Linked DNA regions of Elephas maximus indicus. The protein of the gene in region 2 interacts with the protein of the main gene of each other region in a biochemical or structural test. Links are inferred from orthologs where the notes say so. Each region holds a gene or a part of one and is shown on either strand. Other genes may lie near its edges.

Evidence for each region.
Region 1: of the proteins of EHMT2 (region 2) and LIG1, one has a biochemical effect on the other in vitro, tested with the Homo sapiens proteins (3 studies listed by BioGRID). The link is inferred for Elephas maximus indicus from reciprocal best matches to the Homo sapiens genes EHMT2 and LIG1.

The regions. Positions count from the first base shown.
Region 1 is NC_064829.1:100,826,851-100,830,593, forward strand, and holds the start of LIG1 (DNA ligase 1), read left to right. Parts: upstream 1-874; 5' UTR 875-1,027; intron 1,028-1,365; exon of another isoform or gene 1,366-1,869; intron 1,870-3,743. Other genes in the region: uncharacterized protein ZSWIM9, read right to left, coding at 196-197.
Region 2 is NC_064819.1:93,416,512-93,420,254, forward strand, and holds the start of EHMT2 (histone-lysine N-methyltransferase EHMT2), read right to left. Parts: upstream 2,577-3,743; coding exon 2,297-2,576; intron 2,198-2,296; coding exon 1,979-2,197; intron 1,875-1,978; coding exon 1,615-1,874; intron 698-1,614; coding exon 613-697; intron 520-612; coding exon 479-519; intron 326-478; coding exon 170-325; intron 1-169. UniProt on the Homo sapiens protein: Histone methyltransferase that specifically mono- and dimethylates 'Lys-9' of histone H3 (H3K9me1 and H3K9me2, respectively) in euchromatin.

The sequences.
Region 1 (3,743 bases), on a different chromosome or scaffold from region 2:
GCCCCCCTCTCAAGATGCCCCATCTCTAGATGTGCTCCCCACGTCACGGACCGCCATCCCCTTCGTATTTCTCGTGCACCTGTAGCTCTCTCCTCCCCAGATTTGTCTCCAGTATGTAGCTGTCGCCCCTCTCCCAAACGCGAGCCCTGTATCCCCCGCATCTAGCTGTAGCCCCTGCTTCCCAGAGATGCTCACATCTCCAGATGTGCCAGTTACGGACCCTGCACCTACAGGTGCGTGCCGCATCCACTGTGGCCAGTTCTGCCCCTGATATTTATCTGTGGCTCTTCCACACGCACAATCCAGCTGGAACCCTATCCTTCTCGCTACGGCCGCCATCCTCCCCAGATGTGCGTTCTCGTCTGAAAATATCCCCTGATCCAAATGGGCTTCTTCACCCCCGACGCTTCCCCACATCCAGCCGCACCTCCCCCCACTTTGTTCAGCCTCATCCAGTCCGCTCGCGCCTCCCCAGCCCCTCCCAGCCCCGCCCTCAGAGGCCCCTCCCAGCCCCGCCAACCCACCCAGCTGTGCCTCTCCCCTCCCCCAGATGTGCACCCTTCCCGCCCCTCCCCATTCACCTACCCGCCCCGGAGCGGCGTCCGCCTCCCACAATGCTCCGCGCCAACGCCCGACCGGGCCCTCGCTCCCGGGATGCCCCGCGCGGTCTCCCGCCTCTCTTCCCGCCGTGCCTCGCGCAACCTCTTCCTCCTCGAACCGCTTTCTTCCCCGTCCGTCACTCCTCGGACCCGCAGCCACACCCGCAGGCCGCTTCCCAGCGTGCTCTGCGGAAGGGTTCGCCCTACTTCCTCCTCTTCCTAGGCCACCTCCCACTCGGGGAACTACAACTCCCAGCGTCCTCCGCGAGGACGGCGGCCTCGGGCTGAGCGGAGGTCTCTCGGGTCCCGCCCCTCGACTAGGCTCCGCCCCCGGCTGCGAAGTCTGCGCGCGAATTCCGTGGCGCGAATTTGGGTCTGCAGTCGCGCGCGGAGCGGATCGGAACAGCGGCGTGGGGGGCCAGCACAAGGTCAGTGGGGCGTCCCGCGCGGGGCTGGGGGGCTGGGGTGGCGCCCGTGCCGAACGTTCGAGGCCCGTGGCTTCGCTGGGCCCGGGGTTGCTGCAGACAAGCTGGCGTGGGGGAAGCTGAGGCAGCGGAAAGGGGCTGCGAAGCATTGGAGGGGCGGGGCGGTGTCCGCGCGAGGAAGTGGGGCCAGGGAGAACGTAGACGAGGTCTGCAGACTATGGGACTGGAAAGGGCCTGAGGACAGTCCGGCTGGAGGGGTGGTGCCATCCAAAAGGGGCAGGGACAACAGTCATGGTCGGGGGCGGGACCACCCCGAAATAGGAAGTCTTCGTTGAGGGGCCCTGAAAAGGGTTGTGGATGGTCGGGGCCAGGGAGAGCGTTGTCGTGGGCGAGGAGAGGGAGCTGCTATTTATAGGAAGGGTAGGGAGCCGTGCAGCCAGTTGGAAAGGGTGGGCCAGACCGGACGGAGGTGGGCCCGGCCTGGTAACTGGTAAAGTCCAGGTCTAGGTGAAGAACTTATGAAGGGGTGAGGAGCCCTCTGGGTAGGGAGGGGTCTGGTCTGGTGTTTGCCTGACAAGGGGGCGGAGCCAAGGAAAGGGTGAGGAAGGGGCAGGACCTGGAAACGAGTGGGGCCCAGTGGATCGGAATGGGCCAATGCACCTTATGCACAGCCGCCACCCGTCTGTCAGTGGAGGCCTGCGTGTTGCTTTGGTGCTGAACAAAGACGGGCTAGGAAGAAAGGCCTGGTGATCTACGTCTGAAAATCAGCCAGTGAAAACGTCATAGAGCACAGTTCTATTCTGTCACACGCGGGGTCAGCTTTAGTCAGAATCAACTCTACAGCGGTGAGTTTGCCTTTGGTTTCGTGTAAACAAACCGTAATGCCTCCTAAAGTAGAATAAAACCACTGTAGGATGCCGTCAAGTAGATTACAACCTTATAGGACAGCGTAGAATTGCCCCATAGGGTTTACAAGGAGTGGCTGGTGGATTCGAACTGCTACCCTTTTCGTTAACAGTTGTAGCTCTTAACCATTGCACCACAGGACAGAGTAAAACTGCCTTCTAGGGTTTCCTAGGCTGTAATCCTCATGCAAGCAGATTGCTAGGGCTTTCTCCGAGGAGCTCCTGGGTGGGTTTGAACCACCAGCCTTTCAGTTGACAGCCGAGCGCTTAACCATTGCACTGCCTGATCATATGGTCGGGGACTGGATTTCTTTTACTGTTTGTCCCCAGAGCTCCAGCACACCAAATGTCTTGGAAAATGTGTGTTTGGTGGGTTTTGTGCATGGCTGTTCCTCAGCGTGTGCAGAGATGAATTGGCCACAGTCCCCCACGGGCTGCCAGACTGGCTGGGAAGAAAAGATACAGACTTTTAAAAACGCTTTACGTAGGGGATCGATGAGAACTTTCTAAAGTGAGGGACCTAACGGGGCTGTTCCGATCACTGTATTACTTACTGGTGTTCCTGAATTCTGAGCTTTGGGTTGTGTACTTTAATTTTTATTACTAATTTTAGGTTAATCACTCTCTTTTTTCTTTTTATTATAAAAATTTTCAAATATACAGAAAAGTGGAGCGTAGGATAATGATGATATACCCAGCACCTTGATTTTACACTTATTTAGTTCACAAGAATTATTTTTTGTTATATTTTATTACGTATGTTTCAAACATATATGAAAGTAGAGCGAGTAGTGTAATAAACCCCTATGGACTCGTCACCCAACCCTGTAATTATCAAAATATGTCTGTTCTTATTTCATCTATAAATGTGAAAAAGAACGAGTTGTCAGAGGAGAACTGTGCTCCGTAGGGTTTTCAACGGCTGATATTTCGGAAGTAGGTCACCAGGCCTTTCTTCCAAGGAGCTTCTGGGTGGACTCTCACCTCCAAATTTTGGTTAGCAGCCAAGTGTGTTAACCATTTGCACCACCGGGGATTCCATTTCATTTATAGTCTCCCTCTACTTGCAAAAAAAAAAAAAATTATTTTAAAGGAAATTCGGACATTTGCTGAAATATTTTAAGTAATATACAGACGTCATGACGTTTATTTTATCAAGTGTCTCTAAGCAGGAAAAATGTTTTCCTATATAACAACAATACCCTTTTCACATCTAACAAAATTAACAATAATTATTTGAGATAATTTGAAGTTGTAAATGGACATGAAGAGGAGCCCTGGTGGCACAGTTGTTAAGCACTCAGCTGCTAACTGAAAGGTTGGCGGTACAAACCCACCAGCAGCTCTGCAGGGGAAAGATGTGGCGATCTGTCTGCATAAAGATTACACCCTTGAAAACCCTATGGGGTAGTTCTACTTTGTCCTGTAGGGTCGCTGTGAGTCAGAATGGACTGTCGACAATGGGTTTGGTATTTTGTTTTTTGTTTTTTTGATAAGGTTATGACATTAGATAGCACTGACTCGTAAGTTAGTCCTGTACATGCTCTTTCCGTTTATTTTCTTTAAAGAGAAGTCCTTGATTTGGTGCTAGCGTGTCTTTCCTGCTCTAACTTTCACCAAAAAAAAAAAAAAATACCCCATTGCTGTTGAGCCAGCTCCGACTCATGATCACCCCATGTATTACAGAGTAGAACTGCACCACAGGGTTTTCTTGGCTATAATCTTTACAGAAGCAGATCGCCACACCTTTCTTCCATGGCACCACTGGGTGGGTTTGAACCACCAACCTTTAGGCGAGTAGTCGAGTGCAAACC
Region 2 (3,743 bases):
AATCCAGTAAGTACTTGTGTTAGATTTTTAAAGCATTTTATATAGCATTATAGAGCAAGAGAATCATAAAATCCAAACAAAAAGCCAATAAACAGTAAAACAAAGACTGGTGAGAAACCCCTGGACCTGGGGGAGTGCTGGTGGGGGAGGGCAGGCCTGCGGACCTCACCTTGCTGTCAGAGTCCACGCGTTCGTCCACAGAATAGGAATCATAGTAGAGACTAAAGTCGTCCCCCACCACCGTCTCCCACTCTTCCAGGGACCCAGGGTCCCCCTTCTGCAGGGTCACTTCTCCTGAGCCACGGGCAGAACCCAACTCCTCCGACTAGAAAAAGATCAGAAAAATTGAGGCTGCTGGTAACCACTCCCATTAGCCCCCACTTCGAGGACGCAGGGTGTGGCCGCAGAGTCTACACCCTTGAAGCAGTCCTTCCCTCCCAAGGTGGGAAGGCCTCGCTCCCTGCCTCTCCTGGCTTACCAGACCACCTCCAGAGTTCAGTTTCCTCCTTTTCACGACATCTGGAAGGAGAGAATGAAAGGGATGAGGCCTGTGCCCTACACCTTCAAGAATGGCTACTGTCAGGCTGCGGGTGGGTAGTAGGTGAAACTGACCTGAGGTGACCTTCCCCAGAGAGTGCACGTCGTCACTCATTCGGAAATGCTGTACTTCAGGGGGTCGCTTCTCAGGGACTGGGGGCTGGGGGTGAGAGGGAGCATTTGGGATCAGGGAGCACCTACAGTTCTGCTGATTAGCCTGGAGTCCCAGGTATGAGCAGGTTGGTGAGACATACCCTCAAAAATGCCATCTGGTGCTCCAAGAACCAGAATATAACAACAAGATATCAACCACTTTCCATATCAAGCACTTACTTATCTTTCTAATCATTGACCCTCTACTCCAATTTTACAGATGAGAAAACGGCCAAAACCACATCCAGGACCAAACCCACTCATAGCGACTCCGTAGAACAGGGTTTCCAAGGGTGTAAATCTTTATGGAAGCAGACTGCCATGTTTTTCTCCCACAGAGCTGCTGATGGATTCGAACCAACAGCCTCTCGGTTAGCAGCTGAGTACTTAAGCACTGCACCACCAGGGCTCCTTACATTCAGGACAGATCATACCAAAAGCCCTTAAAAACCCTACCATAAAGCTTCTGAGATTCTGGGGACTTTGTGATTTACCTTCTTTGCCATTTCTGTGGCCCTCACATTCTTTCCCGTAGGAATTCCCAATAAAACCTTAAAACGGAGCAGGGACAGGTTTCAAAGGGAGGGAAACATCCCCCTGAGGGCTTGCTTAGAGGTAGAAAGAAAAAGTGCCTTGAAGTTCCTTTACATACTCGTTATCACAAAAATAATTAAGACATTAACTATACAATTAACTCTTTAACATGTCTTTTTTTCTCCTCCTTTTCTCTGAAAAAATAAACTCTAAGAAGAACAGCGTCTGTTCATAGATTAGGCCCCAGCCCATTACTTGACAGGCAACAAAAACAGGTCCTTGGTAAATAAGTAAATGAGCTACAAGAGACCTGAAATTAAGTTTTTAAAAAGCCCACAAGGGCTTTATGGTCAATTACCCTAGTTCCCCCCACCCTGCCCCCACCCTCACCTGTCCATTTCCGGGTTTGGACATGGTTTTCCTGGCTCTGTGGACCTTGGGCTGCCCCTCTGGACTGGTGGTGGCCGGAGGGGCTTCAGGCCCTGCTGCTGCCACCCCCTGGGCCCCTGGCATACTCAGCAGCCTCATGGCCAAGCTCTGGACTGAGGGGGGTGACTTCCCAGCTCCTGTCATTGACATCTTGGCCCGACTGGGACAGGCACCCCCGCCTCCCTTGCTGGGGGAAGAGGGAAATGACTTTGTGGCATGCCCTAGAAGACAAGACGTACAGGCAGACATAATGTAAAATAACAAGGAAGGCTCGGAGGACCCCCCCATGGTACTCCCCCCGACCCCAGGCTCCCCAGCCTCTCACCCAGCAGGATGCGGCCCCCATGGAGGTCCCCATCTCCCTCGAGACTCTCAGGCTCATCCCCAATGAGCGGTGTGGCTCCCACAGGGGTGTCAACCCCCTCATCGCCGACGGTGACAGTGACAGAAGCTGGGGATGAGGGGCCTGCCGGCTCCAGGGGATCAGGGCTGGCCTTGGGTAGGGCCTCCTCATTATGAGAAATGTCTCCCAAAGAGCCATGAACTGATAAGAAAGATAAAAAAGTTCAGGGCTAAGAACTCACGGGATCCTGTGCTGGGGGTTGATGAAGGTTCAAGTGGGCCGTTTCTGCCGCACACTCACCTCTCTCGGTGGCTCCTCTGGGCTCTTTTTCCAGCAGCAGCGCCCCCATTTCAGCGGGGGCCTCCCCCTGGGAGGGGAGACAGGGGACGGGAGAGCTGGTCAGCCCAGTAGGGAGTTGGGGGGCCCAGGACGCCTGGGCCCTGGGAAGAGAGAGCAGGCTTCGGGGCCTACCTCTCCCCCTATGGGTGCCCCCCCTTCCGCGGCCTCGGCTGCCCGGAGGGGCTGCACGACCCCTCCCCCGAGCCCGCATCAGCCCCCTCCCTCTCGGTAGACCCCGCATCTCTGGGGCAGAGAGAAGAGGAGGGGGAGGGGGCGGGGCCTCCGCGCCCCGGCCCCGCCCCCTCCTCCCGGCTGTACGCGCCGCTCCCCCTTTGTCCCCCAGGCCGCGGGGACCCCTGGCACCAACCCCTCCAGCGCCCGCTGCCCCCCAGCCCGGCGGACGGCCCCTCGTGCCCCTCGCGCGTGCCGCTGGGGCCGCGGCGCCCGCCACCCACTCGGGGGCAGCCGGCGGCTGCATGCGCGCCTCCGTGCCCACTCCCCCCACCTCCCACCCCCTGGTCCCCTCATCCGCCCCCGGTGCTGGCCCCCCGGATTGCTCCAAGTCCCGCCCGGGCCCCCCGGCCCCGTTGCACCCCCGGAGCATTGCACGGGTGCGCGCTTCCCCCGGGCGCGCGCGCGGGCATGCACCCGCCTCTCCCCCTCCCCTTCCGCACCTCGGCCGCCGCCGCCGCTGCAGCTCCCGCCGCCGCCGCCATCGCCGCTCGCGCGAGGGGCCGAGCCGGCGCGCGGCCGCCCCGCGTCACGTGATCGGGGGGGCGGGAAGGCGAGGAGGAGCCTTAAAGGAGCCGCAACGTGCTTGCTGGTTATTTTTCTCCGGGAGCAGCGCTGGAAATGGCGGTGGCTGGTCGAAGCTGGGGGCCACAGGCGAGAATTCCTGCCATTCCTCACCTCAGCTCTGCGGGGAACCGAGAGCGAGGCACGCCCGTCTCCAGGTGTGGCTTCTCCACCCCTACCTGGTTTTAGGTAACTAGCAGAGTTGTGAGCCTCCCGGCTCCCGACAGCGGCCGTATTTTCTTGTGGCCCTCGTGAGCGTCTCCCGCCGCTGGTTGCTTTGCTCGCTTTCTAGTTTCTGGGTCAACAGATAGGCTCGGCCTCACTTCTCTAACGAGCAAAAAGGGTACAACAGGGCCGCGCGGAGGATACCTTTACTCTTGGCTGGTTCTGACACTCTGCTTCTGTCCCCTGGAGCAGGGTTCCCTTTTAAAAACCTGGGACTCAATGTCTCTTCTGTTTATGCAGGGCGTATTACAGCATCACACGCACTAGGGATCCAGGTAAGCCCCCAGCGGCCCGAGAGTCATTACTATCTGGTGACACTGCAGTAAGTAAGCTTTACTAAACACTTCACAAACAAAGTCAGGCACTCCATGGGTCGTACGTAGTCCAA